Canis lupus familiaris: one gene and its partners. The protein of the gene in region 3 purifies or fractionates together with the protein of the main gene of each other region. This does not show direct contact. Links are inferred from orthologs where the notes say so. Each region holds a gene or a part of one and is shown on either strand. Other genes may lie near its edges.

Region 1 (9,084 bases), on a different chromosome or scaffold from region 3:
AATGGAATTCAAAGTCAGGGCATTCTAGGGGCACCTGGGTAGCTCAGTCAGCAGAATATCTGATTCTCGGTAATCAGCTCAGGTCATGATCTTGGGGTCCTGGGATTGAGCCCTGTCTAGCTCCATGCTCAGTGGGGAGTCTGCTTGAGGTTTCTCTCCCCTTCTACCCCTCCTTCCACTTGCCTGCCTGCCCTCCCTCCCTCTCAAATAAAAATAAATCTTTTAAGGAGAAAGAAATCATACATTCTAGGAAAGGTAAGCTGGACCCCCACCATCCCTCTGGGGCAAGATGACATTGTTAAAGGATCCACTGTGGAGACCCTCAAGAACACTTCCTAGACATGGGGCAATTATCTCAAGCCAAGGCCACACTTTTGTCCTTACATGGTACACTCTACCCCTGCCAAAAGTAATGCTAACCGGGATGGCTATACTCTCATCCAAGGTTCCACAGATCCTACACAAAGAAAGGAAGTCTGTGGGATGTAAAAGTAGAAGGCCCTCAGAAGACATACCCTTGGTAGTACTGAGCAGTGGAGAGGTGCCCAGCAGAGAGCAGCTGGTGCAGCAGCCGCCCCATATGCTCACGAGCAATGGTGCTGCGCTCCAGTGTTGACTCAATGCCATGTCGCACAAAGATGAAGAGCAGGGAGGGTGAGGCCAGCTCCTGTACACACTGCACTGCCTCCTGCAGGAGTGTGGGCAGGAGGGAGAGGGCAGTCACTGTCTGGTCCTAACCCCACACTCCATGCATGTCAGCACATGTCCCTCCCTGGCCACCCTGCTGTCACTGAGACACCTCCCACTGCCTACCTTCATATCATTGAGATGGAGATATTCCTCAATGATGGCCTTGGATTTCTTCTCCAGCTCTTCCTCAGAAAGCGCAGCTTTCGGGGGACTCACTGGGGGCAGGGTGGCTTCTCGCTTCACTGAAGGGGGGAGAAACAGATCAGAGACTCTTCAGTTCCAATTTTCCTAGCAAGAAAGACCTGGAGCTCTGAAGACTGGAGGCTGGCTAGTCCCAAACCCACACCTTACCTTTCCCTTCCTCTCCCGGTCCCTTACCGGCATCCCGCCCACGGTCCCGATCCTCTGTGAGGCTAGCTGCCTTGCGCAGTCCCTCAGGCTGGGAGGGCCGCTCTCTACTTCGCTCCTCCACTTCCTTGCTGAAGCTCCGCTTGGTGGCAGGTGTCCGAGAGCGATCGAGGCGGTCCCCACGGTCACCTCCCCGTTCACTCCGCTCTAGGCGGTCTCCCCGGTCCCCAGCTTTCTCACCTCTTTCCCGACTCAAACTACTCCTGGAGAAAAAACAGGCATGTCACCTCTCACCTGTACTGCCTAGGCACTCTCCTGTAGAACTTTCCAACAAGCTCAGCAATCATCAGGCATAGTTCCTGGAATCTGGAATGTGCCCCCATCTAGCCATGGACTATGAGCATTACAGATGTGAGGATTCCTATGGCAACCACCAAAGCCCAATCCCAGTACTCCCCACGTGAAAAACAAAGACACTCGCAGGGGAAGCCTCACCTCTGTACCACACGTCTGCTGTCTGTGCTTTCTGTAGGTACTGCTTGTTGAAGGGCTGAGAAGCGGTTCAAGGTACTAGTAGCTGGACGAGCAGCTTCTGATGCTGGGGAGGCAGAAAGCCCACATCAAAATCTCTTCCTACTTTCTTCCATTCCATCTCCTACTCGCCAGTTTAGGACACTTGGTCCTACTCCCAACATGAACACAGTTCATTCAGTCCCCCTCGTCCCAAGCATAAGCCTCCTGTTATTACCCAACCACTTTATACAAAAGCCTCTCCTACAAATAAGGCTCTGCCCTCAAATAAGAGGATTCCTAGGCCCCCAGCTCCTTACGATGGCCTCAAGTACCTGCATCAGAGGGCTTGGCTCCTGAGCCTCCACTGCTGCCCTTGCCCCAGCTCAATCGCCCTCCAGGTGCAAAGAGCTGGTTGTTAGAATCAATGGAGCCAGGCTGTGGAAGGAAACGGGAGTGGAGTGGAGCATCAGTCTGATCTGGCCAAAGCCCATAGCTACACAGTAGCAAATGGCATAGACCAGGAGCCAGGCAAACTTTTCCTCTAAAAGGCCAAATAGTAAATACTTAAGGCTTTGCATATCATATAGTTTCTATTTCAACCATTCCACATGGCCACTGTAGCACAAAAACAGTCACTCGCAATACTTAAGGGGAATGAATTTGGTCATGTTTTCTAATAAAATTATGCATGCTGAAATTTACATTTTGAGTAATTTCATTACTCAAATCATCCATTTTATTTTTTTCAACTGTTAAAACTGTAAAAGCCGCTTCTTAGCTGTGGAATGTAGAGAAGGAATGGGACAGATCTGCTGTGCGAGTTTGCTGGCCCAGACAGATGTGAATACATCTTCTTGAGCTGGCAGTCCTGTCTCTAGGAGTCTAACCAGTTAGTCCAAGAGGAAAGCCATCACCTTTTCAACCTCAGAAGTAAGGAGATGAAGATCCAAATCTATGTTCAATGCCAACTGATCCCTCTTTTCCCTCCAATGACCACTACCACTAGGTAGTGACACCCTCCAATACGCCCCCCTACCTTCGTGATCTTGGTGAGTCGTGAGGTGTCGATAGGGCGGCTGCCCTTGCTGATGGGGACTGTGTTCCAGCCACCATCATCCACAAGTGGGAGGCCACGACCTGGGACAAAGAGTATATTACAATAATGAGTAACTCCTAGCCCCCCGATCACCTGGGGCTACCCCCAGACCCCCTTCCTCAGATCCTCAGTTCCATCATGTGGTCTCAGTGGCCCAGACACGTGGCACTAACAAGAAGTCATCAGTGGAAAGTTTAACCCCTCACTCTGCCCCCTCGTAACCGGAGTCCCAAACTCACTAATGGGTGGGCCTGGAGGGCCACCCCGACGCTTGTCACTGCCCTTGGCCATTAGCTGCTGCACTTTTACGTGCTCCCAGTGCTCCTCCATCTCAGCCTCCTTGTGGATCTGGTCAATGGTCTTGGGACCCTGGTCCCCACGGCGTGGCACCCAATTGCTCTGTGGGGACAGAATGCCAGTCACAAGATAATCATATCAGAGGGCCAGACCAAGCAATGTTGGATACGCATACAGGCAGCAGACCAGCAGTGAGAAGGAGAGGACACACACCCGTCGCAGATCCAGCACGTCTTGCAGCATAAAGCGGATTCGGGATGAAGTCTTCTTTTCCTTAATGATTTTTTCCATCTGGTTGAAATACTGATCCATTCGGGGCTAGGAAGAAGCAAAAGGATCAGGTCAGGAGCTTGTGACACCTTACCTTCAACTGTAGGCCCGGCCCCTCTTTAGACCCTCAGGTCCATCACTGTAGCTCGATGACTCACACCCGGCAGCCCAACAAGGAGTCTGTCAGTGGACAGCAAGCCCCAGGCACTTGGCACTTCAGCCTGTCCCATTCCCCAACCCAAGACCCTCACCTTGGCTTTTTCAAAGTCCAGATCTTTGCCAATGGTAGTGAGCAGACGACAAAGGCATTCAAGGGACTCTTCATCATGATTCTTAAGTAGTTTAACCACACAGTCATGCATTATAGCCTCTGTTAACATCTTCAACTTAAACAACTCCCCAATAAACTTGATATTCCCTAAAGAGCGCCGCCGGGCTATGTCTCGAGCCTCTTCCAACTCTTCCTTCAAGCGTCCTCGTTCCTCTGCCTGACAGTTATAGGACAAAAATCCATCAAAAAGGTACCTAGCCACTGGGCTAAAATCCTTCTCTCCACTATCTAGATTCCTAACCCCAGCAGCAAGTATTCCTGTCTTAAGGCAGAGAAAATCCCCAAAACACCATCACCCCCAACTTCCATTTACTTCCCCACCCCCTATTCTATAGCAAAGTAGCATCTGGGTGGACTGTGGGGTTGGTGGGTTTTCTCTCACCGTGGCAGCTTCATCCATCTCTTTTTGCTTCTTCTCAAAAACCTCATCATCATCTTTGTCTTTTTCAAACTCTTTCTGACATCGATTCAACAACAGTTTTCGGAAGTTCACAGTCACCGTTGGCTTTTCTGTAGTGGGCACTTTCAGCTGTATGTCAAAGAGAGTATCACGTTAGTCCTGAGCAGGTAGGCCCTCCAAAAGTCTTTAGCTATCTAACCCAGGAAGATCCTCAGCTCCCACTCTGCCACCGCCTGGCTGCCATTAACAGCGCAGGCTGGAAGAGAACCAAGAAGCTGGACTCAAGGAGTCTTAGGAAGAGAAGTAGGAAACTAGACCACAATGTTTAGTAACAATGGAAACTAACCGCCATGAGGCAGCGGCACATGTTGGCATAGGCCACAGAGAAGTTGGGCTCTGAAATGGCCTTCTCGAAGATGAGGTCAATGACCCCTTTGAGGCGTTCCTCGGTGTCAATGGCCAGCTGCGTCACCTGCTTCATCAGCTGCTGGAACATCTGGGGTGTCAGCTTATTCAGGATGGAGCGCACCCTGCGGAACAGGTCCTGGTAGAGGGAACAGAGAAGACACAATCCAGTGAGGTTCTCAGAAGAGGTCGCTGGGAGGGATGAGAGAATGGTAAGGACTCAGATACTGGTGATAAGGAAGACAGAAATGAAGAGGACAAAATTGGCTCAGAGGACAGACTTTGAAGAGAAGACATGGAGAGCAAAAACAACACTGATCATTACCTGGGTTTTGCTGCCATCAGCATCCTCTTCCCCTCGATCCTTATCAGCGGCTGTCCGCTTGCTGCTGGGCTTCCAGGCTTTCTCTGCTTTGTTCAACTTTATATCTTCAGTCATTAACACTGTGGCAATGATCTTGCGGGGTTCCTTTCGGGGGCCTTGCTGAGAGCGCCGGGGTCCCAGACCAGCCTGCTAAGCAAGGAGTGAGGACGAGTGAAGACACAGAGCTAGTCAGCACAATCTGTGACACCGCCACCACACATCACTAAGGCAAATATCCTCCTTCTCCCCAAAAGACAAAGGAGCCATCCCCCAACTACCCTTGACCATCCGCCCCTCTCACCAGTCCCACTCACCGGCCCTCGGGGCAGCTCCCCACCTGGCCCACCCCTTGGGGGCCCACGGTTGCTAAGGGCTGGTCGGCCAACGTTGGCAAAGGAAGGGATGAAGTCTGGACCACAATTTATGCCTTGAAGTTTCGTGGGATCCAGTGGCCGCAGTGGTGTTTTATTGGCCTGCAAAGAAGACAGGGAAGGCATGAGAAACAGACTAGGGCTCTTGACTACTCTTTCAGGACCTCAGGCTCCTCCCCTAGCCAGCCAGCCCCAAATGACTCCTCCCCCTCAAGCCTACCAACCTTATCCAACACCACATCACTGATATGGGGCAATCCCTCCGGCTTCTGCATACTGGCAAAGATGAACTGAAAGCCAAGCAGGAACTCACGGTCATAACGCTTTTTCTCCTCAAGGTTTAGAGGCTTCCACTGATCTACGAGGAAGACGAGATGAGCGAATCATACCTTTGTCTCCCGGGGCCCTGGCAAGAATACCCAACCCTGCTCAGCCCTTCCTTCAGCATACCTGACTTATACTCATACTTCTGTTCCCCGGGCTGGATGTTCTCAGCATTGTGAATTTTGTCTTCCTTTGAATCCCAGGTCTCGTCTGCTTCCTCAGGCCTCGGCGGTCCACTGCTGCCCTCAGGCTCCGGGCCAGGACTGGTGCCAACAGGAGGCTGATTTTCCACTTCTGGTACTCCTGGGCTCACCTGTAGGTCACACGTAGGACACGTAGGATATTTCATTTTGGTTGCAGTATGACTAGTGTTCATACCCAAACTCTGTCCTCTCCCCTCCATTACTTTCTGCTCCTTTACCTCCTTGAAGGCATCTAGAAGGTCTCCCACAGCCTCCTTCTTATTGAGCTCCTTAATTTTCCGTCTCTTCTTTGGCACAGACACCGCCACTATTTGGGAGGTTAAAAAAAAGAAAAAAAGTGGGAATAATTTATGGAGTACCCCTACTCCCTGGGGAAATAAAAAGCAGCAGCTACTCCACAGTATTTCATCTTTCCATCATACCCACCCCAGACTATTAAAATCCCTTAATCTTGGAATTTTATCTCTTAGGTTCATCAAAGGGTTTCTATGACCCAGACACAGTGCCACACAATTGAGAGATCATCAATGAAAAGAAAGAAAAAACAAAAAACAAAAAACACCTTTCAGCCCAACCCACTTGCACCATCCAGCCACACCTTACCTTGGGTGGTAGCTGCTGCCTCTAAATTCTGAGACAGGTGGGCTGCAACAGGGGTGCTCTCTGGGGGGAGAAGTTCCTCTCCTCCCTTCTGAGCCTCAGCATCTCCAGCTTCTCCTTCTTCCTCCTCTTCTTCCTCTTCCTCCATTTCCTCCTCCTGAGCTGGGGAAGTAGCTGGAGGAGCCATAGCTGGAGTGGCAGAGAGGACGGTGGGGGGAGCCACTGATGCTGTAACCTCCTTGGCCTGCTCCTTTGGCTCACTGACTGGGCTTAAGTCCACAGCTGGTGGCGAGGGGGCTCCGTTGAGCAGTTCCTCAGGTTGGGCAGTTGGAGCAATGGGCGTGGGGGATTCGGAAGGACAAGCTGGGGGAGGGAGAGGAGCAAGCTCTGGGCTCGACTCCACCTCTGGTTCCAGATCCTCAGATGGGACCATGCCATTAGGTTCAGGAAGAATTTCCTCTTTGTGAGATGCAGAGGGAGTGGGAACCTGGAGAGGACTGGAAGAGAACTCAGATTCTGGAATCGGTTTGCTAAGTGTCACTTCTACTTCCAGTATGGGTTCAGCGAGGGGAGTGGGTTCTGGAGAGAGGCAATATGGCTCCCCAGTTTCACGGGGCATGGGGGTGGATTCTTCTACAGACATTTGGATCATCCCCGTTGTCACAGTGTCCCCAGGAATGGAGAGGACTGCGAGATTAGGCTCAGACCCCGGTTCCAAGATTGGGGGTGGTGATGGGGTCGGACAAGGTGATGAAGGCTGGGATTCTGAAGGGCTGTGTTCTGGGCCAGGCAACCCCGGCCGGCTCCCAATGATTGCTCCCTGGGACCGGTCATCTACACCACAGGAAAGACAAATCATTAAAGGCAGGTCACTACTTTTTTCCTCCTCCTGCCAGCCAAGACATTCCCAGCCTAATACCCCTGCAACATTCTCCTACCTAAGGCCTTTCCCCTTCTCACCCCAAATCTGGCCCACTTGCAAAATCCCACTACCTAAAACCCAAGTCATTCTTCTCTGGCACCCAGGTCAAGTTACTCTACCTCCTTAGCATTTGAAATAGTCACACTCCTTTTCCCCATAAAAGCTCTGCCCCACCTGCTTACCTACCTGGCCGGACAACAACAGCAACCTGGGGTGTCTCCCCATTAGCTTGAGGCTCCAGACCACCTCCCGTCTGCAGGACACAAAGGGTTACCAAAGTTTGCCCTGAAGAGGCCCACAACCCTTCTCTATTAGAGCCATTTCTACTTTCACTCTGCCTAAAAATCCACGGAAAACAGGGAAATAAATCCTTTCATTGAAAGAGAAGATCAAAGAACGTGGGAACTCAGGTCAGAACAGCCATCCTAGGCAAGAGCCTCGCTCAAAGATCAGACAATACCTGGGGAGGGGTGGGTGTGGAGGCGGTGCGGGCCCCAGACATGATCTCCTCCGTGATATCCTTCCCTCCTTGGTTTGGATCTCGAATTCGGATCTGGGGAAAGAAAGCTCCGGGATGAGTGGAAAACCAGGAGGAGCCCACCTCTCCACCCTGCCCCACTCCTAAGACTCTAGGCCAACCCCCCACCCCCCACTGGGTAGCAGGTGGGTGGGTGCCAGAAACCCCATGAGTTCTACTGTTAACCCATCTAGCTAATCTTGTACTCCCTACCTTGGCCCCCACCCCTAAGAGACTCTTGACCTCACAGAGCAGTCCTGTACATCACAATGCCCCTCCCTCCCTCAGCCCTGCGCCACCAGCAGTCCCCAAGTCACTGGCTGCACACCATGGGGCCCAGGACCCCCATCTAGCACCCAAGCAGCTCACTTGTGGCTAGTCGGCCTGATCTCTGGGGGCAGGGCCCAGATCCAGTGGGTGGAGCCAGGGTGACTCAGCGGCTTCCCCAGCCCTGGCACCCTATTCTGGGCACCACGCCCAGGGCTTGAGGATTGAGCAGAGGCGGAGGCCTCAAGAGCTTCCAGGACTGGGAGGTGGGGGGTGGGGCCACAGAAAACAAACCATTTCCAAGACAAGCCACCAGAAACCCAAAACCAAGCACAGATCTTATGGACCCCCAGAACCTGGGTCTCTCAGGAACTCCTGCAGCACTAGCCTCCTCAGTCTTCCCATGAGCTACTTCTACACTGAAGTCTTAGTACCTTACAAAGAATCTGAGCGCTTCACAAACCTCCATTCTCTAACCACTCCCAGCTGAAGCTCTCCTTCCTCAACTTTCTGCTCCCTGACCCACAATGCGCTTGACCTTGATTCTCCCTTTCCCAGATGTCCCAGAGCCCCTTGCTGTTACTCACGGTCTTCCGCTCCCTCTTGGGAGCAATCTGGGGTGGCTGGTTCATCAAAACTGAGGCGGGGGCCACACCAGTGGGAAACTGCTGCACACCCTGGGCTGGGTAGTAGGCGCCAGCTTGAGGGGCAGGGGGACAGACACAGAAATGAAGAATGGTGGCAGCGTCAGGGCCCAACCATATACAAATGCCTGCTTGAATACCTCACACCTCCCATCTCAGAACCTCTCATCACCCACAGTCGGCCCCTTGCCCTGCCCCACCCGCCTCCCCAAGGGATTTAGGTGTCTATCAAAGCTGGGGAACCAGTCTGAACTGCGTTTACAAGAATTCCTGACACTGCCATACACACACCTTGTAGGCAGGCACTCCTTCTCCACCACATACCAGCTACCACTAGCAGGACTTCTGTTTCTCTTCTACCCTAGAAGGTATTATGTATGCCCCCCACCCCACCCCCAGCAACACACACACATGTATTCTGAGGGAGCAGTAACTACTTAACCTGAAACAGAATCAGGTCTTTGGCTGGGAATGAGAAAAACAGATTTGCCAACCCTGTTCCACTCAACCTGAGTCCAGTTC
Region 2 (9,799 bases), on a different chromosome or scaffold from region 3:
TCTCCAGGATCGCGCCCTGGGCCAAAGGCAGGCGCCAAACCGCTGCACCACCCAGGGATCCCGATATTAACAAACTTTTAAAGAAGTTTTAAGTATACTCATCTCTCAAAATTGTTCCTTAAGGCTACGGGCTTAAACAGTGGTTCAAGTTCAAAAAGTCAATGCATAAAATCTATGCATTACTCTCTAAGAGACTATTATACAGCATTTTCTACTTAGTCCTATGCTTGATAAGGTAGGTCAATTATCTCTCGCTTTAGGATGACAGACATCTTCCCAGGGTCATTCAACTCTAAATCTCACAAATTAATTCACTTACTCGTAGGAAATGGCGCCTGTATTTCTTAATTTGTTCTCTAATCTTCTCATTAAAAAGAACTTCAGTCAAAACAAGAGGACCCATAGCTTTTACATCCAGTCTTTCTGCTTCAGCAACAATTTCTTTGTCTGACGAGTCAATAATACCTTCTTCTTTCTTTTTCTGCAAATAAAGGGAGCAATTCAGCAAAATGGAGACACATTTTGCTCTAGAGATGCTCATTCCTCCCCGCTTTCAGACTTTTCCCATTATAGCTTCAGGATTTTTTAGTTAATATGCACATGCCAAAGATAGTACCTGGAAGCACTGCAAAAAGTAATTTCAGTAAATAAGTTTGAGTATTCAAAAGACATCATGAGGAAAAATTATGTGCCAGATCACAAATATAAAGTAATAAATATCTTAAAACCTCAAGACTTGAGGGTGATTAACAAAAAAATGTTTAGCTGCTCTTGAAGTTCTTACCTTCACAAAATCAAACAGAATATTGACCCGCTCTTCTACAGTCCTTTCCAAATCATCACTGAGTGTTAGAACTTTTGCATGATCACTGATTTCATCCATTCTTCGTCTTTGAGCTTCCTCAGTCGTATCCTCCCCCCAATCATCATCCTCCTCTTCTTCCTGTCAAGAACAGCATTGTTGTCAAATGCCTCAAAAACGCAAAAAAAACGGGATCCCTGGGTGGCGCAGCGGTTTGGCGCCTGCCTTTGGCTCAGGGCGCGATCCTAGAGACCCGGGATCGAATCCCACGTCGGGCTCCCGGTGCATGGAGCCTGCTTCTCTCTCTGCCTGTGTCTCTGCCTCTCTCTCTCTCTCTGTGTGACTATCGTAAATAAATAAATTAAAAAAAAAAAAACAAAAACCCCAAAAAACATTCCAGATTTCTAGTCACGTTAATGGCACTGGATTTATTTTCCATAAATATTGGACTTACCTACAGAACCAGGAACCCAAGGTATCATTGCAAATTTTTTAAAAGATTTATGAGAGAGAGAGAGAGAGAGGGAGGGAGAGGGAGAGGGAGAGGGAGAGGGAGAGGGAGAGAGAGAGAGAGAGAGAGAGAGAGAGGGAGGAAGAGCCAGAGGCGGAAGGAGAAGCATGCTCCATGCAGGGAGCTTGACGTGGGACTGGATCCCGGGACTCCAAGATCATGCCCTGGGCCAAAGGCAGGTGCTAACTGCTGAGCCACCCAGGGATCCCTGGTATCATTGCAGTATTAAAATGAAGATAGGGGGCAGACCCGGTGGCGCAGTGGTTTAGCGCCGCCTGCAGCCTGGGGTGTGATCCTGGAGACCCGGGATCTAGTCCCACGTCAGGCTTTCTGCATGGAGCATGCTTCTCCCTCTGCCTGTGTCTCTATGAATAAACAAAATCTTTTAAAAAAAATAAGTAAATAAATAAAAAAAAAATAATAATAAAATGGATGATAGGGACACCTGGGTGGCTCCATAGTTGAGCGTCTGCCTTCAGCTCAGGGTGTGATCCCAGAGTCCCAGGATCAAATCCCACATTAGGCTTCCTGTGGGGAGCCAGCTTCTCCCTTTGCCTGTCTCTCACGAATAAATAATAAAAATCTTTAAAAAAATGAAGATGACTTTCCTTATTTCTGCCCCCACTCAACTCAACTTTGGTGCCCACCACCCTCATCCCTGCACTCACCGCAGCATGTGGAGGAGGACTGATCTCATTTGGTGGTGGGGGTGGGGGCGTCTCACTGCTGGACACAGAACCATTTTCCTTGTCCTTGCCTTTCCGGTTTTTCTTTTCCTTTTCTTTCTTCCCTGTACCACTGTCACTATTCTCTACAGGAGAACAAAAAAAGAAACAAAAAATTTAATAGTTTTATCACAGCTCACTATTTCTCATAAACATTTAAAAACCTTGCTCCCTTCTGCTTTGGAATCTTCCCTTGAAATCCATATACATACACAACGCTACTTGTAATTCTAGTAGGATTTACAGACCAAATTTATCCACTATCATTTCCTATATAAAAAATTCAGGGTAAGAATGAAATGTCCCAGAATAGTAGAGGCATTCACTGTTCAGTAGGATTAAAATGAAGTGATGATGTCTCAGTAGACCAGATAGTGAAGGTTGGCACTCCTGACCCTCTCATCCCTCATATACCCAAATAACAGTACATCTCAAATGCACTTTAAGTAAAAGCTGGAACGTTGTTTAAGTCTATATAACAGTTGGTCTCATTGAGGAGAACACTGGAATAGGTTAGACTTTCTTGCTATAGCAAGCTCAAATTGTGTCAGACAACTTCCATCATCTGCCACAGAGTGTTGCTTGCAATGTTCTAAAGCCAGTTAGGCTTAATGAGTCAGGACCCTCGTTCACAAGAGTATTACAGGAGATCCTTTGCTGGAATTGCACAATTTGTTTTACACAAATCTATTTCTTCCTAAGTGACCAGTCTTAATTTGGCAGCCTGTTCTATCTTTAACAGTACATCTTTCAAGGTAACAGATCCAACAGATCAAGGCACAAAAATAGGAAATTCCTTATCTTCTAGTTTCATAGCAGTAAAGAAACTTCTGCTTTGTTTCCAGCAATCAATTGCTTTACTGTTAAGTTCTTACAAGTTGATCATAAAGACTCACCAGGTGGGTTTTTGAGAATGAACGTGCAGAGTTTATGATGTGTGTCAAGCATGCCTCGATAGCCACAGGCTTTACAAGAATTACCTATTGTTTGCTTCTTTGGATTGACATGCTGCCAAAAAAGGGGTAAAGACAAGTGTTATCTTTGCCCTACAATAAAATTTTGCAAAAAACAAAGTGTTGAAATACTTAACTATGTAATTCCAGCCTAACATACAAAATTGTTTTTAACAAAATGATCTACTTAGAAAAGCCAACATTGAAAATTTCTAAAAAATTTGCTGCTTTAATTTCCAACTAAATTTGCGATCTCTTAAACTAAATTTGGTAATATCAAAGGACTGATCACAAAAGCAGGTGTAGGTTTTCCTCTTTCTGACAAAAATCTCAAAAAGGACTCACCAGCTCTGTTTCAGGATTCTCACACTCAGGACAAAGAACAAATTTTTTAATGAATCCATCCAACATGTCTTGCAGCTTATTCGCCTCATGAGATCCATTGACAATGTAACGGTCATTCTTAACATCAAACTGGGTCTGTGCTCCCAGCTCACAACCAAAATATTTGGTGGGATCTATGGCGGGGTGGTGGAAGGGGTGGGGGAGAAAATTAAGTTTTTGACTGACTCACCCTCCTACAAATAACACTTTTGCTACTTCTACACAGCTAAAAATATGTCTTACTTGGGTAGTTTTGTTTACTAATAGCAACTAACACATCAGTTGGGTTTTCAAGCCCAAAATTCCACTTAACCCTGAAACAAACTATCATACAAGTCAATCAAGAGGGCAGCAGGGATGGCTCAGCGGTTTAGTGCCGCCTTCGGCCCAGGATGTGACCCGGGAGACCCGGGATTGAGTCCCACATAGGGCTCCCTGTATGGAGCCTGCTTCTCCCTCTGCCCCTATCTGTATCTCTCATGAATAAATAAAATCTTAAAAAAAAAAAAAAAAAAAAAAAAAAAAAAAAAAAAACCCAACTCAATCAAGATACACAGATTGAAGCTTGTCACGATCATATCCATAATATGCTTTTTCAAACTCCTCTTAAGAAGCATTACTTACACGTTGGAGGCCGATTAAGCGCCTTTGCAACGTCAACCATGTTGACTATAACTGTCTTGATACCATTTCCTTTGCCCTCAACCTAAGGAAAAAAAAAGCTTTAATTTTGCATTATCTACCTGAGGAGATGCAGTCTTTAACAATCTAGGAAGAGAGCTTAGGTTTCATTACTAAAATGAAGATCAGCATTAATTACCTTGGCAATCAGACGGGGCATCTTGTAGCGATAGAACTGGTCTGACACACTGCGGTTGACATTGACAGACATTTTGGCTTATTAGTGGCTTTATCAATAAGATGAAGAGATCTTTGATTGCAACTTTTTGGTATCTTCTGTCTGGAGAAGAAGGGATGACATAAACGACTGCAAGAGTTCTCGGTCTCTGACATGAAAAAATTTTCGCCACTGAGGCTGTAAGCTTCTTGCTTGTATGCTATGTTTCCCCAATACAGGTACCAATGGCTGCGCAACAGCTCTGAAAGAGAAAGGAAAAGCACACACAACCCCCAACGTTTAACGTGATTCCCGCAGGAGGAAACCTCCCTCCGCCTCCCAGTTAAGGACGCCTCGTTCTGCCACATTAGGAAGCATCACAGTTCACGTGAGAAGCTAACATTCTCCTCGAACACAGAACACCTGTCGCAATCTAAAGGGCCTCCAGCTGGGAGCTGCCAGACTTCCCACGACGAGCAGCCCGGCTTCGGCTGCCTGCCCGGGGTTTACCCCGAAGCCCACACCACCCGCCCGTCCCAGGGTTGCTTCGACGGAGCGGCCATGTTCTAACAACCGCCGTGGAGACGAAGGCAGACCCAGGCTGGGTTTTCGGACAAACTTCGCAGCCTCGACCCCCGGCCCTGCCGCCCCCCGGCTCAACACCGAGCGCGCCCCTGAAGGAGCCCTGCCCCAATCCGGGACTCGCGGTCTCGCGGGAGTGTGCACGGACCGCCGCCGCTCCGCCCCGTCCCCGCTCTGCGCGCAGTCAACCTTCGCTCCGGTGCCCATGGCTACCGGCCGCTCCGCCCGGGGCAGCGACCCCGCCATGCGCGCCGCGGGAAGCGAAAGCGCCAAGGGGCGCCGGCTCGGGCCGCCCCCGCCCCCGAGCGGGCGATGACTCATGAATGCAGCAATGGGGCCTGAGTCAGCCCGCGCGGCGCGCTCCCGCGGGGCGGGGGAGGGGCAGGGGCCCGGCGGGGAGGGGGTCGGGGCGGAGGGGCGGGGGCGCGGGCCCGGGCCGGGGCGGAGGGCTGGGCGGCGGGGGCGCGGGGCCCGCCCGCCCGAACTGCGCCACACGCGCGCGCGGGTCACGCGGCGCGCCGCCATCTTGTGCGGCCGCCATCTCCCCGCCGGCCCGCCCGCGGACTCACCGTTTTCGTCAAATAAAGACATAAACCCAACGCTGCTCGCCCGGGACTGGGATGAAGTGAGGCGCGTGTGAACCCGAGTCCGAGGAGGGGCGGCGGAGGCGGCGGAGCAGCGCAGCGAGCAGCGGCCGGGCCAGGCGCCGCCGAGCAGCGGGGAGGGGCTGTCCCAGCGACGTCCGGGGTCCACACCCTTCAGCGCCCGGGGCCTGGCGACCTGGCGCGGAGAGACGGCGCCGTGAGCCGCGGGCGTCGGGGCGCCTTCCCCGCCAGCCAGCGGCCCGCGGGGGTCGAGGGGGCGGGGAGGACTGGGGAAGGGGCGCGGGGCCGCCGCCCCTCCACCGGACTCACCTCTGGAATGTTCTCGCTCTGACTGAACAACGCCGCCGCCGCGCTCAAGCTACCCTCAGCCCCAGCGCCCGCCCCCCGCGCCAGGCCGCACCGCTCATTGGCCTGAGGCGCGCCCGAGCTCGCTCGTGATTGGTCCACGTGCCGCGTCAATTGCGTCTTTCTCCGCCCCTCCTGCTTCCTAAGGCTCCGTTCGCCGCCTCAGCCCGCCCCCAGTCCCCGGGTCCCGGATCTCTTCCCTTGCCCTCCCCTCCCCCGCCCGTCCCAGAGGCCTTCGCGGTCTCGCGAGAGCTGCAGGCCGCGGCGGGAGCTGGCCGCGGGGCCGCGCTTTGTCGGTTTGGGTGCGGAGGGGAAGATGGCGGTTGGCTCCCCTCCCCCGCCGCCTCGGCCTGGTCTCGTTCCCGCCGAGTTCCTCTCGCGGCGGGCGCGCAGCCTCGCCCGGGGGCGGGGCGGGGGACGTCTTCCCTGCCCTTTCCGCCCCTTGGGGGATGCCGGTAGCCGGGGCTCGAGGAGGAAGTTGTTCTTCCTCCCCGCTCCCTGGGCCTGGGCCTGGGCCTGGGCGGCCGGTGGTGGTGGGCGGGCCCGGGTCTTTCATCCTGAGCGCTGCCTCCTAAGCTCCCAGGCCGGGGTCCGGATGTCACCTCGGGGGGGGGCGGGGTCGTGCTGCGGGCCTGGGCCCGCCGGCCTGGCTCTCTCCCCGGCCCCCCGCCTGCAGGCCTGGCGGGGCTGGGCGCTCCCGTGCACCCGCCTTCTAAAGAGGCGGACCCCAGGACCCTCCAGAAAGCGCGTCTGGGAAGAGGCCCCCGGGTCCTCGTCCTCCACAGTAACTTTGCTCAAACGAAGCATCTCATTGGGTTCCAATTCCCCGCACCCACCTCTCGGGGGATCCACCGCGGCTTCCTTGCTGTGGGCGAAGCACAGCCCAAAGCAGGTGTTCCTAATGAGGTCGCATTGCCTGATCATTTAGTGATGTTTTCATCCTGTTGAAGCGATTGCAGAAGCTCTCCCGTTCTTTCAGAAACTCATTTTTAAGAGTTTGAGTTGCTACCGTGAAAGCGCACCGAGTCCACCCTGAAATCCAGCATAGCTGGCTGTGGTAAAACCAGGAACCGTAGGATGGGGATGGGGTTCTAATCCACTCCCTGCGGTCTCTAAGGAGCCCCCTAGCCCTCAGGGCCAAGTGTGCCCGGGCTGCAGAAAGTAGCAATGTTGTTGAGGACAGGGTGAGGTGGGTAAGGGGCTGCCCTCTTTGAGACCAATTAAATATGCAAGAAAGTTGGAACCGAAGGGTGCGTTGGTTTTTATTAAACTTCAGGATGCTGGGGATCCCTGGGTGGCGCAGCAGTTTGGTGCCTGCCTTTGGCCCAGGGCGCGATCCTGGAGACCCGGGATCGAATCCCACATCGGGCTCCCGGTGCATGGAGCCTGCTTCTCCCTCTGCCTGTGTCTCTCTCTCTCTCTCTCTCTCTGTGACTATCATAAATAAATAAATAAAATTTTAATAAAAAAAAAAAACTTCAGGATGCTCTTCCATGATTTGCAAGCTTTATACCCCATTTTATTTTACTTTATTTTTCTTAAATTTTATTTTTTATTGGTGTTCAATTTGCCAACATACAGAATAACACCCAATGCTCATCCCGTCAAGTGCCCCCCTCAGTGCCCGTCACCCAGTCACCCCCAACCCCTGCCCTCCTCCCCTTCCACCACCCCTAGTTCGTTTCCCAGAGTTGGGAGTCTTTATGTTCTGTCTCCCTTTCTGATATTTCCCACACATTTATTCTCCCTTCCCTTATATTCCCTTTCACTATTATATTCCCCAAATGAATGAGAACATACAATGTTTGTCCTTCTCCGATTGACTTACTTCACTCAGCTATACCCCATTTTAAAACTGACAGTGTGGGTGGGGAGGTTCATAAAAGGGCCATCTGAAAATAAATAAATAAAAGGGCCATTTGGAATTGGGCAAAGTGATTTGTGTCTTTGCTATAGGAGCTTATGTTATCACACAGTGTGTGTGTGTGATCGTACAATGGTGTACGATCGTTAGACGAAATGCATAATGTTTTATGGGCACCAGGGTTCCCATCTGAGCCACAGAAAAGGTAGATCCCAGACAAGCTGCTTCTGGTTCACCATGAAGCATGATTTAGCAGTATTGAAACTTTGAAGTTTTTGCATGCAAATGACATTTTAGAAACTCAGAAAATATGGAAATGAAACTAGTCTGAGGCAACGGGCTTGCCTTGTCAGAATGATTTTTAATAAAGCTAAATACAAGGTGAGTGATTATTATTTGGGGGGATTATGTTTGATGGCCCCATGTTTAACTTCATTTAAAAAGTTTGTACTGGGATCCCTGGGTGGCGCAGCGGTTTGGCGCCTGCCTTTGGCCCAGGGCACGATCCTGGAGACCCGGGATCGAATCCCACGTCGGGCTCCTGGTGCATGGAGCCTGCTTCTCCCTCTGCCTGTGTCTCTGCCTCATTCTCTCTCTCTCTCTGTGACTATCACAAATAAATTAAAAAAAAATTTAAAAAGTTTGTACTAATTTTAACTTTAATTTTTAGCAGGTGTGCTGCTCATTTGTATCTAATCAGGGACAGATTTTTTTTTTTTTTTTTAAGATTTTATCCATTCATTAATGAGAGACACAGAGAGAGAGAGGCAGAGACACAGGCAGAGGGAGAAGCAGGCTCCATGCAGGGAGCCCAACGCGGGACTTGATCCTGAGTCTCCAGGATCAGGCCCTGGGCTGAAGGTGCCGGTAAACCACTGAGCCACCCGGGCCGCCCCCTAATCAGGGACAATTTTTAAAAATTACTCTTAACCGTACTATTTTTTGAATGCTTCTCATAGCCTAGGAATTTACTAGGTGATTAGAATACACTTTCTAGCCCCTAGGAAGAATTTTTCTTCCTGTTTTACAAATGAGCAAATTGAGGCTTAATGGAAAAAATTAAGCAACTTGCCCAAGATCACACACTAGTAAGTGGCAGAGCTGGAATTTAAACTGAGATCTGTCTGACCCAGAGTCTGTTCCCTTAACCATTACATGACCCAGCGTTCACGAGTAAATGTAAACATACATAAGTCTGGGCAATTTACATGTATAATCTATTTTAATCCTTTAACGATCATGTAAGGGAGTGTTTGTTGTTATTGCCATTTTACAGGTGAGGAAAGAGTCAGGAAGGTTAATTTTCTCGCAGTCACCTGTCTAATAAAATGGTGGGTAGTGTTTGAACTCTAGCTTGACGCCAGGATCATCACACGATTCCGCCTCCTACTTCTGGCCTCCACCTCATTTGGCTGCACTTCTTCCAATCAGGCGCTCACAGTTTGATAAGTAATAGGTACTTGGTACCTCTGAAACTGTTGTCAGGTGAGTGCCTGAGTTATGCATTTCAGCACATGCCTTGGACAATAGGCATGTATAGCTGCTGAAAATGTAAGTTTGTAAACTGGCCTTACAGTTGTTAGGTATTGGTGTCTGTTCTGTGTAGCATGAATTTGCCCCCTTGAGCAAGATCAAGCCTGTGTGGACTGAGGACCTTGTGTTCCTGAGCTGTGGGCCACTGAGGGACCAGGACATTGCCCTCTGTGATGGGTCGTCCGGTTGGACAGCTGGTCTCTATGACATCCTTGTCTTAGCTATCTCTAACCTCCAGCACACTGTTAAAGCTGTGCATAAGGGTTTTTGTCTCCCCGGCTTGAGAATGAGCTACAGGGTATGTTCATTTTTCTTCTAGCAATAGCCCGTCACAGAGGTGCGTAGAGCAGACATTCAGAGCTGCTGGGAGGGAGCTGAAGGTTATCTGGTGAGTACAGAAGCAGTCAAAGGCGTTGGCTATGTTGAAAGCTAGAACCCTAAACCTTGGTAATTTAACGCACCCATATCAATAAACATTTCTGAGTTGCAGGGATACGGGCCCCACCCACATTGCAGGCCCTGCTCAGGTGCCATATGTAAACAACTAGCAGCTATGTGCCTGGTGGACACCAAATGAAGCTTGTCCCCTTCCTGAAATCTCTGATCCTCAGGCAGGATGTCTCCCTGCTTCTGTGACAGGCCCCTCCCACCCACCCA
Region 3 (9,582 bases):
CTCTGGGAGTCATGAACATTGCCCTTTTCTGCCAGCGAGGAGGGAGGTGCGAGGGCAAGGAATGCGACCTGACTCTGGGCACCGACCTGACTCTGGGCACCGTCTGGGAGGAGAAGAGATATGGGGGGTGAAGTCGGGAGCTGGGAGGCCTTGCCTCTGATGGTGCTGAGGAAGTGATGGTTTCTGAAAGTTGCAGCAGGGGACTCCCCTTCATGAACCCCCACCCCACCCATTCCGGGTTGTCACTGCTGGGTTATATGCATCCTGTGAAGGCAGTGATCCCCTTCCCCCATCTTCCTGAGGGTTCAAGGACGCAGACAAGCCTAGTAATTACCACAGGAAAGCACTCTGCGCTTCTGACCTTTCTGGGCCGGATTTCGCACCCTAGAGTTGCTGTGGCTGGTGCCCCCTCCCGGGCTCAGAAAGGACAGGAGCATGTGCCCCCAGAGGGCGCCTGTGACCAGGCACAGAGTAGATGCTCTGAAGGTCTCGAGCCATGTGAGGAGGAACTGCGCTCACTTGGGGACCGTCTGCCCACAGGTGCTCTGACCTGCTCAGCCAACTTCTCAGTAGAAATTGACCGTGAGTTCAGCCGTTTCCAGGCAGCCTTTCTGTGCCCCATGCTGGTAGTTGAGTTCCTGGTGGCTGTGGCCAGCAACGGCCTGGCCTTCTACCGCTTTGTGACGCGGGAGCAGCGCCCGTGGCACCCCGCCGTGGTCTTCTCAGCCCAGCTGGCCATCAGCGACCTGCTCTATGCCCTGACGCTGCTCCCGCTGGCCGCCTACTTCTACCCGCCCAAGAACTGGCAGTACGGGGAGTTCGCGTGCCGCCTGGAGCGCTTCCTCTTCACCTGCAACCTGCTGGGCAGCGTCATCTTCGTCACCTGCATCAGCCTAAACCGCTACCTGGGCATCGTCCACCCCTTCTTCACCCGCAGCAGCTGGCGGCCCAAGCACGCCTGGGCCGTCAGTGCCGCTGGCTGGGCACTGGCAGCCCTGTTGGCTGCACCCACGCTCAGCTTCTCGCACCTGAAAAGGCCACAGAGGGAAGGCAGCTGTGTCACAGAGAGGCCTGAGGCCTGCACCAAGTGCCTGGGGATGGCAGATGACCTCCGCCTCGAGGCCTACAGAGCCTACACCTTGGTGCTGGCGGTCCTGGGCTGCGGCGTGCCGCTGCTGCTCACCCTGACAGCCTACAGTGCCCTCGGATGGGCCGTGCTGCGCAGCCACGGCATGACTGCTGCCGAGAAGCTGCGTGTGGCAGCGCTGGTGGCCAGCAGCCTGGCCCTCTATGCCAGTTCCTATGTGCCCTACTACATCACACAGGTGCTCAACGTGCAAGCTCGGCAGCGATGGAGGGCCCGCTGCCCAGGCTTTGCCAGCTTGAATGAGGCCAAGGCAGCAGTGGATCAAATGACCTATAGGACCCACCAGATAATGCGGGGCCTCATGCCTCTGGCCATCTGCATCCACCCACTGCTTTATATGGCTGTGGCACCCAGCCTGGGGTGCTGCCACCAGAGCTGCTGCAGCTGCAGCAATAGCCAAATGCCAGAGGACACGGGGAACTCTGGCCAAGTCCTGCCCCTCAATGTTACAGCAACCCCCCCAAAACGTGGAGCCCTAGTCCCCTGAGCTAAGCCCATGACCTGGCTTATTTTGAGCCACTTCCTCACCACAAGGCATTGAGACCAGCAGCAGAATGGGGGCCAAGAGCACAAGAGGCTCCTGGCCCTGAGCCACTAACAAGCCCTGAACTGCCAAAGGCCCCAAACCACCACTTCTTCCCCTACACAAAGACCTGTTCGGGGACCAGCAAGTGCCAGGCCACAGTGGCAGGAACTTCTGCCTACAGCACTGATCCTAAAGAGGGCTGGCCCCTCTAGCCAAAGAGTGGGTGACATCTGTGAATAAACGAGACAACATATGACAACAGGAGCCTTTTTATTGCCAAGAGCCCCCTGCTTTCGGGAGCTACCTCCTAAGGCCATGGGGTCCTGGGGCCGGGGCCAGACAGCAGCAGCAAACATGGCAACTGGCTTAGTTGGTTGATGGCCTAAGAGAGAGAGACAGGTGATGAGGATACCAAGTGTGAGGGCTCCAGAACCCAAAGGGCATTCCAAGACCCTTTGCCACATACAACTGGGGTCTCTGACAATGCAGGAGGGCAGAGCCCACACATGGCCAGATGGGTAGAAGGCCCCCCCTCAAAAAAAAGACCTTAAATAACCTGTACCTCAGAAGAGGCTTGGGGACTATTAAACTAACGTGGGGCCCACAGTCAACCTGAGTGTGGGATGCGAAGAGGTGGGGAGAGGCAGGGGTGTGACAGGTCTTACTTGGCCCACTCAACGTTGAGGATGAGGTGGTCGTATCCAAAGCCAGACACCCCAGCAATGGCTCGTGCGGCATCCTCACGGCGGTGGAAGCTGATGAAGGCAAAACCCTGGAGGAGTGGGGGTAGAGTCAGAGGCCCTTAGGGCACAACTAGGACAGGTGACCCCATCACCCATCCCCACAGCCACCGCCCACCTTGGACTGGCCAGTGGTCTTGTCCTTTGCCAAGTAGATGCGAGAGATGGAGCCAAAGGGTCGGAAGAGTTCCTGTAAGTCAGTCTCACGAGTGTCCTCTGACAGGTTGGTGACACGGATAGTGGCATTGTCGTCGGCTACACAGGCAAGGAGCGACAGCTTGTAGAGGACAGCCCTAACCAGGCCCTGAATGAAGGATGACCATGGGACTAAGAGGTGCCCACCCGCCACTCACCTCTGCGGTTGGGCTGCATGGACTCGCCACGGCGGCTGGCCCCATCCCGCAGGCTCGGTGGCACATACTTCCCCGTCTTGTTCTGGGCAGCCTGCACGGGCTCCAGCTCTGCAGACCAAAGCAGCTGGGTCAGGCCTCACCCTGGCACAGGTGAGGGACAGATCCACCCCAGGGCGCTGGCAGCTCTGGCCCTGACCCAGCCCAGGCACCGTCTATCAAGCCACAGGTATCTGGTTTGTTCCACTGGCCGCCAGGACATGAAGGTCACATCTGGCAAGTCAGAGCAAGATCCCACTGGCAGCCCCAGGGCTGAGAGCTAGAAGAACACAGGAACATGCAGGGGCAGCCCCCGGGCCCCACACTCATGGCAGCTAACAAATGTGCTGCACACCGAATCACAGCTGTAAAACTTGCAGAGTCAACCCACTATCAGCAAATCACACTGAAGGACATGGACACAGGCTGCAGTCACATGTGCGAGTCTGCGCGTGTGCGTGCACACACCCACGCACACAGGCCATGGTCCCCTCTGTGGCAAACAAGGCACACTCCAGTCTGATCACAGAGTCTGCAGCAGAATCACAGCTCCAAGTCTCAAGCACACGCAGCCAGACCCATAAAGGAACGGTTCGCCAGCCCAACACGGAACAACGGTGGTGTTACCAGCAGTCTTGGCACCACCCCGCTGGTCTCGCACACTCACACAGACCACAGCCTGGCAGCGCTGGTGCCAGTGAGAGAGGACAACTTCTGATGCGGACAGCCCCGTTCACAGCAGCGGGTGGAGACCGAGGACACTCCCAGAGGTGCACGCAACCCGCCCCACCCCGTGGTCCGCCAAGCCAAATCCCAGGCCCAGGCACCTCCGGGCAGCTTCTCCTTCTCGCCGGTGGACAGGCCCAGCTGCTCAGCCAGCTCCTTCTGCATGGGCCCCAGCGTGTCCTTGTAGGGGCAGCGGGTAGTCCAGTGGTCGCCCTTGCAGATGCGGCAGGACACGATTTTCTGGCCCTTGAGCTTGTTCATCGGGTCCTCCTCTTCCTGGCAGTTCAGATCCTGGGGGGGGGTGGCAGTCAGAGCAGGGTTGCCACACCCTGGCCACCACCATCACAGCCACCGGCCCAGACCCTTGCCCAACTCACCTCTTTGCTAGTGATGAATGTCATGGACACGTCGTCACTGACTGTGGTGGTGGCCACGTTGGGCCCTGGTGGGTCAAACTCCGAGTTCCCAAACTTCTTCCAGTTCTGGGCTCGGGGCGGGATGGGGGACTTGTAAGGGCAAGTGGGACCCCCACCACCACTCGACCTACAAAAGCCCTCCCTTCAGGGTGTTTCAGCCTTGAACCACATTCTTCTCCCTCCCCCAAGTCTCCCAAAAGTGGTGACAACGACAGTTCCCATTTCCTAGCGTGTACCACTCCTGGCATGTGCTAGCCGCTAGCTTCAGGCCAGCTCCAGGAGGTGGGGACGGCTCTCAGCCCAAGTTCCAGAGGAGAGAACCAAGGCCCAGGGGGAAACAGTCACACAGTTAACCATTCCTGAGGCACCCATGACAGGAGGTGGGCCAGCTCCCATAAGGAAGTGACGCCCAGGGGTCACCCAGACTGTGAGGGGCCTTGAGATAGTTAAAAAACCTAGGCTTAAAAAAAAAAAAAAAAAAAAAAAACCTAGGCTTGGGCAGCCCGGGTGGCTCAGCGGTTTAGCACCGCCTTCAGCCCAGGGCGTGATCCTGGAGACCTGGGATGGAGTCCCACATTGGGCTTCCTGCACGGAGCCTGCTTCTCCCTCTGCCTATATCTCTGCCTCAGTCTCTCTCTGTGTCTTTCATGAATAAATAAAATCTTTAAAAAAAAAAAAAACCTAGGCTTCAGCTTTCTTCCCCACCTTTTTAAGATTTTTATCTATTTATTCATGAGAGAGTGAGACAGAGAGAGAGAGACGCAGAGACACAGGCAGAGGGAGAAGCAGGCTCCGTGCAGGGAGCCCGACGTGGAACTCGATCCCAGGACTCCAGGATCACACCCTGGGTGGAAGGCAGGCGATAAATCGCTGAGCCACCCAGGGATCCCAGCTTCCTCCCCTTTAAAATGGAGACCTCAAATGTTCCCCACCTCCCAGGACGGCTAGGGGTAGCAAATGAGAAAACACTTCCTGCAAAACACTTGCCATTGAGGTCTGGCACAGAGGAAGTCCACCGAAAATTGTGCCAATGCTATTTACAGCTATCACTTCTTCCTAAGCATGTAGCCCAGTTAAACAGGAGCTGCTATGACCGCCTGAGGGGAGGGCTTGGCTCTGTTCCTTCTGGTAAACAAGTAAACAAGCTGAGCGGAGTTAATCTAAACCACCCAACTTCTGCACCCTGGACTTTTCAGGGTCCCAACAGAGCACAAACACCCCTCAACCTTAAACCCCCTTGATCCAACAGAATAGAGACAGAGTTGAACCCCACTTCTAAAAATAAAGGTATCAGATCAAAACGCTGTCAACAAAAAGGATTCCTAATTCCTCCAAGCCAGCCCTGGGAGAGCCTCTAAGACAAGAGGAGAAGCGTCTCACCTTCCTCCTTGCAACAGCCTTGGAGGCCTTCCGCGTCTCAATTCTGAAGGTGCGGACGATCTGTGGAGGGGAGGGGAGAGGCTCCGAATTCCTGTGTTTCAAGGCTCTGGAGCTAATCAACCCAACCTACCCAACACACACACCATCCCCTCCGGGCCAAGGGGCCCCCAACTCCTCCCCCAGCCTCACCTTGAACTTCTTGCCATCCTCATCTATCTTGTACTCTGTCACTGTCTTGATGTTCCCATTGATGACCTCCTTGGGAGGCGGCAGTGGAGCTGGGAGAGAGAAGAGGGGAAGTAACTGAGCCTTGGGTGATGGAGGGGGAGGGGAATGCTGCTGGGGAGAGGGAGCCCCGAGTGGAGCTGAGGGCGTCACTCACCTCCCGGCACTAACTCAGGTTCTGGGCTGGTGTCGCCAGTGGCCAGAGGGATCCCCTTGAGGAGCTCGCTGGTGACACATTTGTCTAGGAAGGGGAGTGTGGGTAGGAGGGGTGAGCTGGAGGGGCGAGGGCTCCCAAGCTAAAATGAAGGGACTTCTGGGATGACGCCCACACCAGGGGCCTAGACGGCAGGGCCAAGGGCTTAGGCCTGGGGACCAAGTGCCCTGGGCTAGCCGTGCCAGGCCGTGGCGCTGGCTGAGTAATCTCGCGCAATGGCAAGGATGAAAGCGAGGGGCAGCCCATAAAGACATCCGGCGCTCGCACCCAAGCAGGAGGCTGGCTGTTACAGCTTCCTCCCCGGAGCAGCTGTGAGGCTTGGGCGGTGGCAAGGGAGCGGGGGGACCGGCCAGCCGGACACTTGGAAGTGGCGACAGGCTGGCGGGAGGCGGGAGGCGCGGGGGGAGATGCGGCACCGGACGGCGGTGCCCGGCTCGGCGCAGGCGCCCGTGACCCGGGGCGACCCGGCGTACTCACCGTCCTCGCCCTCCTCCTCCACCTGGTCGGCCCAGCTGGGCTTCGAACTGCAAGGGCAAGGTGGCGGAGGGGAAGGCTGGGTCAGCGAGGCCAGGCCCCGAGGAGCGCCCCCACGGCCCCCAAGCCGCCTCCCAGGCTTCGCTCCGCGACCCTCGACTCACTCAAAATCTCCGGTCGGCATTTCAAAACCTCCTCCACGCAGCACAAGTCCCGGGCCAGAGACCGGAAGTGGGGGGAGGACGAGACTTCCTGCGCCGCGGCCCAGAGCAGCCCGGCAGCAGCGCCCACAGCGCCCCCTGCGGCCGGAGGCGGAGGCGCCGGCCGTGGCACCTCCCTTCGTTCATTCCATTCATTTCACCTTTTATATGTTGGCAAGTTGAACACCGATAAAAAATAAATTTATTTTTAAAAAATCACCAACAGGGATCCCTGGGTGGCGCAGCGGTTTGGCGCCTGCCTTTGACCCGGGGCGTGATCCCGGAGACCCGGGATCGAACCCCACATCGGGTTCCCGGTCGGTGCATGGAGCCTGCTTCTCCCTCGGCCTGTGTCTCGGCCTCTCTCTCTCTCTCTCTGTGACTATCATAAAAAAAAAAAAAAAAAAAAAAAAAAAAAAAATCACCAACAGGGATCCCTGGGTGGCGCAGCGGTTTGGCGCCTGCCTTTGGCCCGGGGCGTGATCCCGGAGACCCGGGATCGAGTCCCACGTCGGGCTCCTGGTGCATGGAGCCTGCTTCTCCCTCTGCCTGTGTGTGTGTGTGTGTGTGTGTGTGTGTGTGTGTGTGTGTGTGTGTGTGACTATCATAAATAAATAAAAAATTTTAAAAAAATCACCAACAAAGGAGAAAAATCAGTTTGAGCTAAGATTTTGCCACACCAGCATTCCATGCCAGTTGGCAATGGAGCAACGTGCACAAAACTGCGAGCGGACTATGACTCAGAAGTATCAAGACCAAGATATCAGTTGAATATAAAGGTGACTTGTGCACATTTTCAAATATGAGAGAATGTATGGAAGGACCCTATTAAAAGAATAAGGACAGTGCTTAATGATGAAGTCTAATTAACTCATAGATGAATAATAATACATAAACCAGAAATAGAAAAATGTGAGTATAGTGAATAGTGCTGAACAATGAATCCATTTATAACTAGAATGAACGCTAAACAATTAGGAGGTCATGAGCACAGAACAGAATGTAAATGTTATGAAAATGGGCAAAGTGAAAAATAATACAAATATCAAAAATAAGATTTGGGAAGGGGACTAGCTAGTCCAGATTCAAGAATTAAGAGGACCTTCTCGGGATCCCTGGGTGGCTCAGCGGTTTGGCGCCTGCCTTCGGCCCAGGGCGTGATCCTGGGGCCCCGGGATGAGTCCCGCATCAGGCTCCCTGCATGGAGCCTGCTTCTCCCTCTGCCTGTGTCTCTGTGTCTCTCATGAATAAATAAAATCTTAAAAAAAAAAAAAAAGATGACCTTCTCCTATTCTAATTTTATGCCAGAGAGCAGAAGTAATTCCTCTCTGGAGCCCAAAACCTTAAATGATCTCTACATGTTTTATATACAAAGTAGCAGTCCATGAACAATAGGACTAAATGAATGGAACCCCAGTTAAAAAGAAAAAAGAAAAAGAAAGAAAAGGAACAGACACATAAATGATCCAGTTTTTAGAAAAAAAAATTTAAAGGTACTAATAACACTAAAGCTCACTTCTCGAGAGCTTATTGTAGGCCAGGCACTGTGAGGGGGAAATTATAATTTTCTGAAGAAATTGTATGGTGGCAGGTGGTGAAGAATCCAGGCTGGACTTCCCGGTCTGGGAAGAGTTTTCCTGATTCAAATGATCAAGATGTCAGAGGGCCCCTCTGCCCCTCTTCCTCCTTTCTTTTGCAACATTCTTGGCTCTCTGATATAATCCTTCCCACTCACTTGTTTATTGTCCAGCCGTCCCTGTAGGGTATTATTCTCAGTGGGAGCCTCGTGGCTCCCAAGGGGGCTAAAATGAATTCTTGGGTAGCAAAACACCTTGAATATTATTACAATGGCTGGTGGCTCTCCAAAAGCAACTCTCCTAGACAAAATCTTATGCCTAAGTATTTACTTTCTATCATTAGGGAGAAATTAAATGTAACTGGATTGAAATTAGATGTATTTTTTTAAAGATTTATTTATTTATTTATTTATTTATTTATTTATTTGAGACACAGAGAATGAGAGAGAGAGAGACAGAGATACAGGCAGAGGGAGAAGCAGGCTCCTTGCAGGGAGCCCGACGCGGACTCGATCCCAGATCTCCAGGATCACACCCCAGGCTGCAGGCAGCGCTAAACCGCTAAGCCACTGGGGCTGCCCTGAAATTAAATTTAAAGAGGGGCACCTGGGTGGCTCAGTCGATTGAGCTTCTGCCTTCAGGTCAGGTCATGATTTCAGGGTTCTGGGACTGAACCCCGCGTCGGGCTCCCTGCTCAGCAGAGTCGCCTCTCCCTCTGCCCCTCCCCTGCTCCTTCTCTCTCTCTCTCTCTCTCTCTCATAGATAAATAAAATCTTTAAAAGCTTTTTAAAATTAAAAATAATTCCACTTTTCTCCTTTAGAGGGGCAATAATGTAAAAAGGTTGAGAATCTGAGGATCCCTGGGTGGCTCAGCGGTTTGGCGCCTGCCTTTGGCCCAGGGCAGGCCCAGGGTGTGATCCTGGAGACCCGGCATCAGGGCGTGATCCTGGAGGCCCCGGGATCAGAGTCCCACATCAGCCTCTCCGCAGGGAGCCTGCTTCTCCCTCTGCCTGTGTCTCTGCCTCTCTCTCTCTCTCTCTCTGTGTGACTATCATAAAATAAATTGATATGACTATCATATCATAAATTAAAAACAAAAAACAAAAAAATTTTGATATTATCCAGTGCTGGTGAAGATGTAGAGAAAGAAACACTTGCACATATATTAATGCATGAAATTTTGTGAACTTTTCGGATGGAAATTTGACATACTCTAAAAGTTAAAATGAACATATGAATTTTGTTTTATGGTGGCATAGACATTTATCAGTTTCAGGTGTACAACATAGTGATCCAACAATGCAGTGTTCACCACAAGAAATATCGTCATGGGGCACCTGGGGGGCTCAGTGGTTGAGCGTCTACCTTTGGCTCAGGTCGTGATCCAGGGGCCCTGGGATCGAGTCCCGCATCAGGCTCCCTGAGGGGAGTCTGCTTCTCCCTCTGCCTCTGTCTCTGCCTCTGTCTCTGCCTCTCTCTCTCTCTGTCTCTCATGAATAGATAAATAAAATCTTTATTAAAAAAAAGTGCAGTCACCACCTGCCACCATACAAAGTTATTACAATATC

Evidence for each region.
Region 1: the proteins of EIF3G (region 3) and EIF4G1 purify together in Homo sapiens (affinity purification with mass spectrometry; 3 studies listed by BioGRID, with this or other methods). This does not show direct contact. The link is inferred for Canis lupus familiaris from reciprocal best matches to the Homo sapiens genes EIF3G and EIF4G1.
Region 2: the proteins of EIF3G (region 3) and EIF5 purify together in Homo sapiens (affinity purification with western blotting; 3 studies listed by BioGRID and IntAct, with this or other methods). This does not show direct contact. The link is inferred for Canis lupus familiaris from reciprocal best matches to the Homo sapiens genes EIF3G and EIF5.

Annotation. Positions count from the first base shown.
Region 1 is NC_049255.1:17,368,619-17,377,702, reverse strand, and holds part of EIF4G1 (eukaryotic translation initiation factor 4 gamma 1), read right to left. Parts: intron 8,619-9,084; coding exon 8,506-8,618; intron 7,688-8,505; coding exon 7,595-7,687; intron 7,388-7,594; coding exon 7,321-7,387; intron 7,047-7,320; coding exon 6,216-7,046; intron 6,146-6,215; exon of another isoform or gene 6,075-6,145; intron 5,920-6,074; coding exon 5,831-5,919; intron 5,723-5,830; coding exon 5,536-5,722; intron 5,444-5,535; coding exon 5,310-5,443; intron 5,188-5,309; coding exon 5,029-5,187; intron 4,865-5,028; coding exon 4,676-4,864; intron 4,490-4,675; coding exon 4,292-4,489; intron 4,075-4,291; coding exon 3,928-4,074; intron 3,703-3,927; coding exon 3,466-3,702; intron 3,263-3,465; coding exon 3,158-3,262; intron 3,047-3,157; coding exon 2,887-3,046; intron 2,839-2,886; exon of another isoform or gene 2,763-2,838; intron 2,689-2,762; coding exon 2,588-2,688; intron 1,987-2,587; coding exon 1,884-1,986; intron 1,637-1,883; coding exon 1,534-1,636; intron 1,302-1,533; coding exon 1,042-1,301; and 5 more.
Region 2 is NC_049229.1:71,502,769-71,512,567, reverse strand, and holds the start of EIF5 (eukaryotic translation initiation factor 5), read right to left. Parts: upstream 5,859-9,799; 5' UTR 5,710-5,858; intron 5,576-5,709; 5' UTR 5,365-5,575; intron 5,009-5,364; exon of another isoform or gene 4,985-5,008; intron 4,476-4,984; 5' UTR 4,268-4,475; coding exon 4,196-4,267; intron 4,082-4,195; coding exon 4,000-4,081; intron 3,510-3,999; coding exon 3,337-3,509; intron 3,047-3,336; coding exon 2,935-3,046; intron 2,623-2,934; exon of another isoform or gene 2,499-2,622; intron 2,125-2,498; coding exon 1,982-2,124; intron 944-1,981; coding exon 785-943; intron 482-784; coding exon 320-481; intron 1-319.
Region 3 is NC_049241.1:51,335,974-51,345,555, reverse strand, and holds EIF3G (eukaryotic translation initiation factor 3 subunit G), read right to left. Parts: upstream 6,517-9,582; 5' UTR 6,422-6,516; coding exon 6,402-6,421; intron 6,288-6,401; coding exon 6,241-6,287; intron 5,791-6,240; coding exon 5,707-5,790; intron 5,603-5,706; coding exon 5,514-5,602; intron 5,385-5,513; coding exon 5,325-5,384; intron 4,011-5,324; coding exon 3,906-4,010; intron 3,820-3,905; coding exon 3,630-3,819; intron 2,875-3,629; coding exon 2,767-2,874; intron 2,669-2,766; coding exon 2,532-2,668; intron 2,446-2,531; coding exon 2,339-2,445; intron 2,056-2,338; coding exon 2,040-2,055; 3' UTR 1,925-2,039; downstream 1-1,924. Other genes in the region: P2RY11 (P2Y purinoceptor 11), read left to right, coding at 541-1,634. UniProt on the Homo sapiens protein: RNA-binding component of the eukaryotic translation initiation factor 3 (eIF-3) complex, which is required for several steps in the initiation of protein synthesis.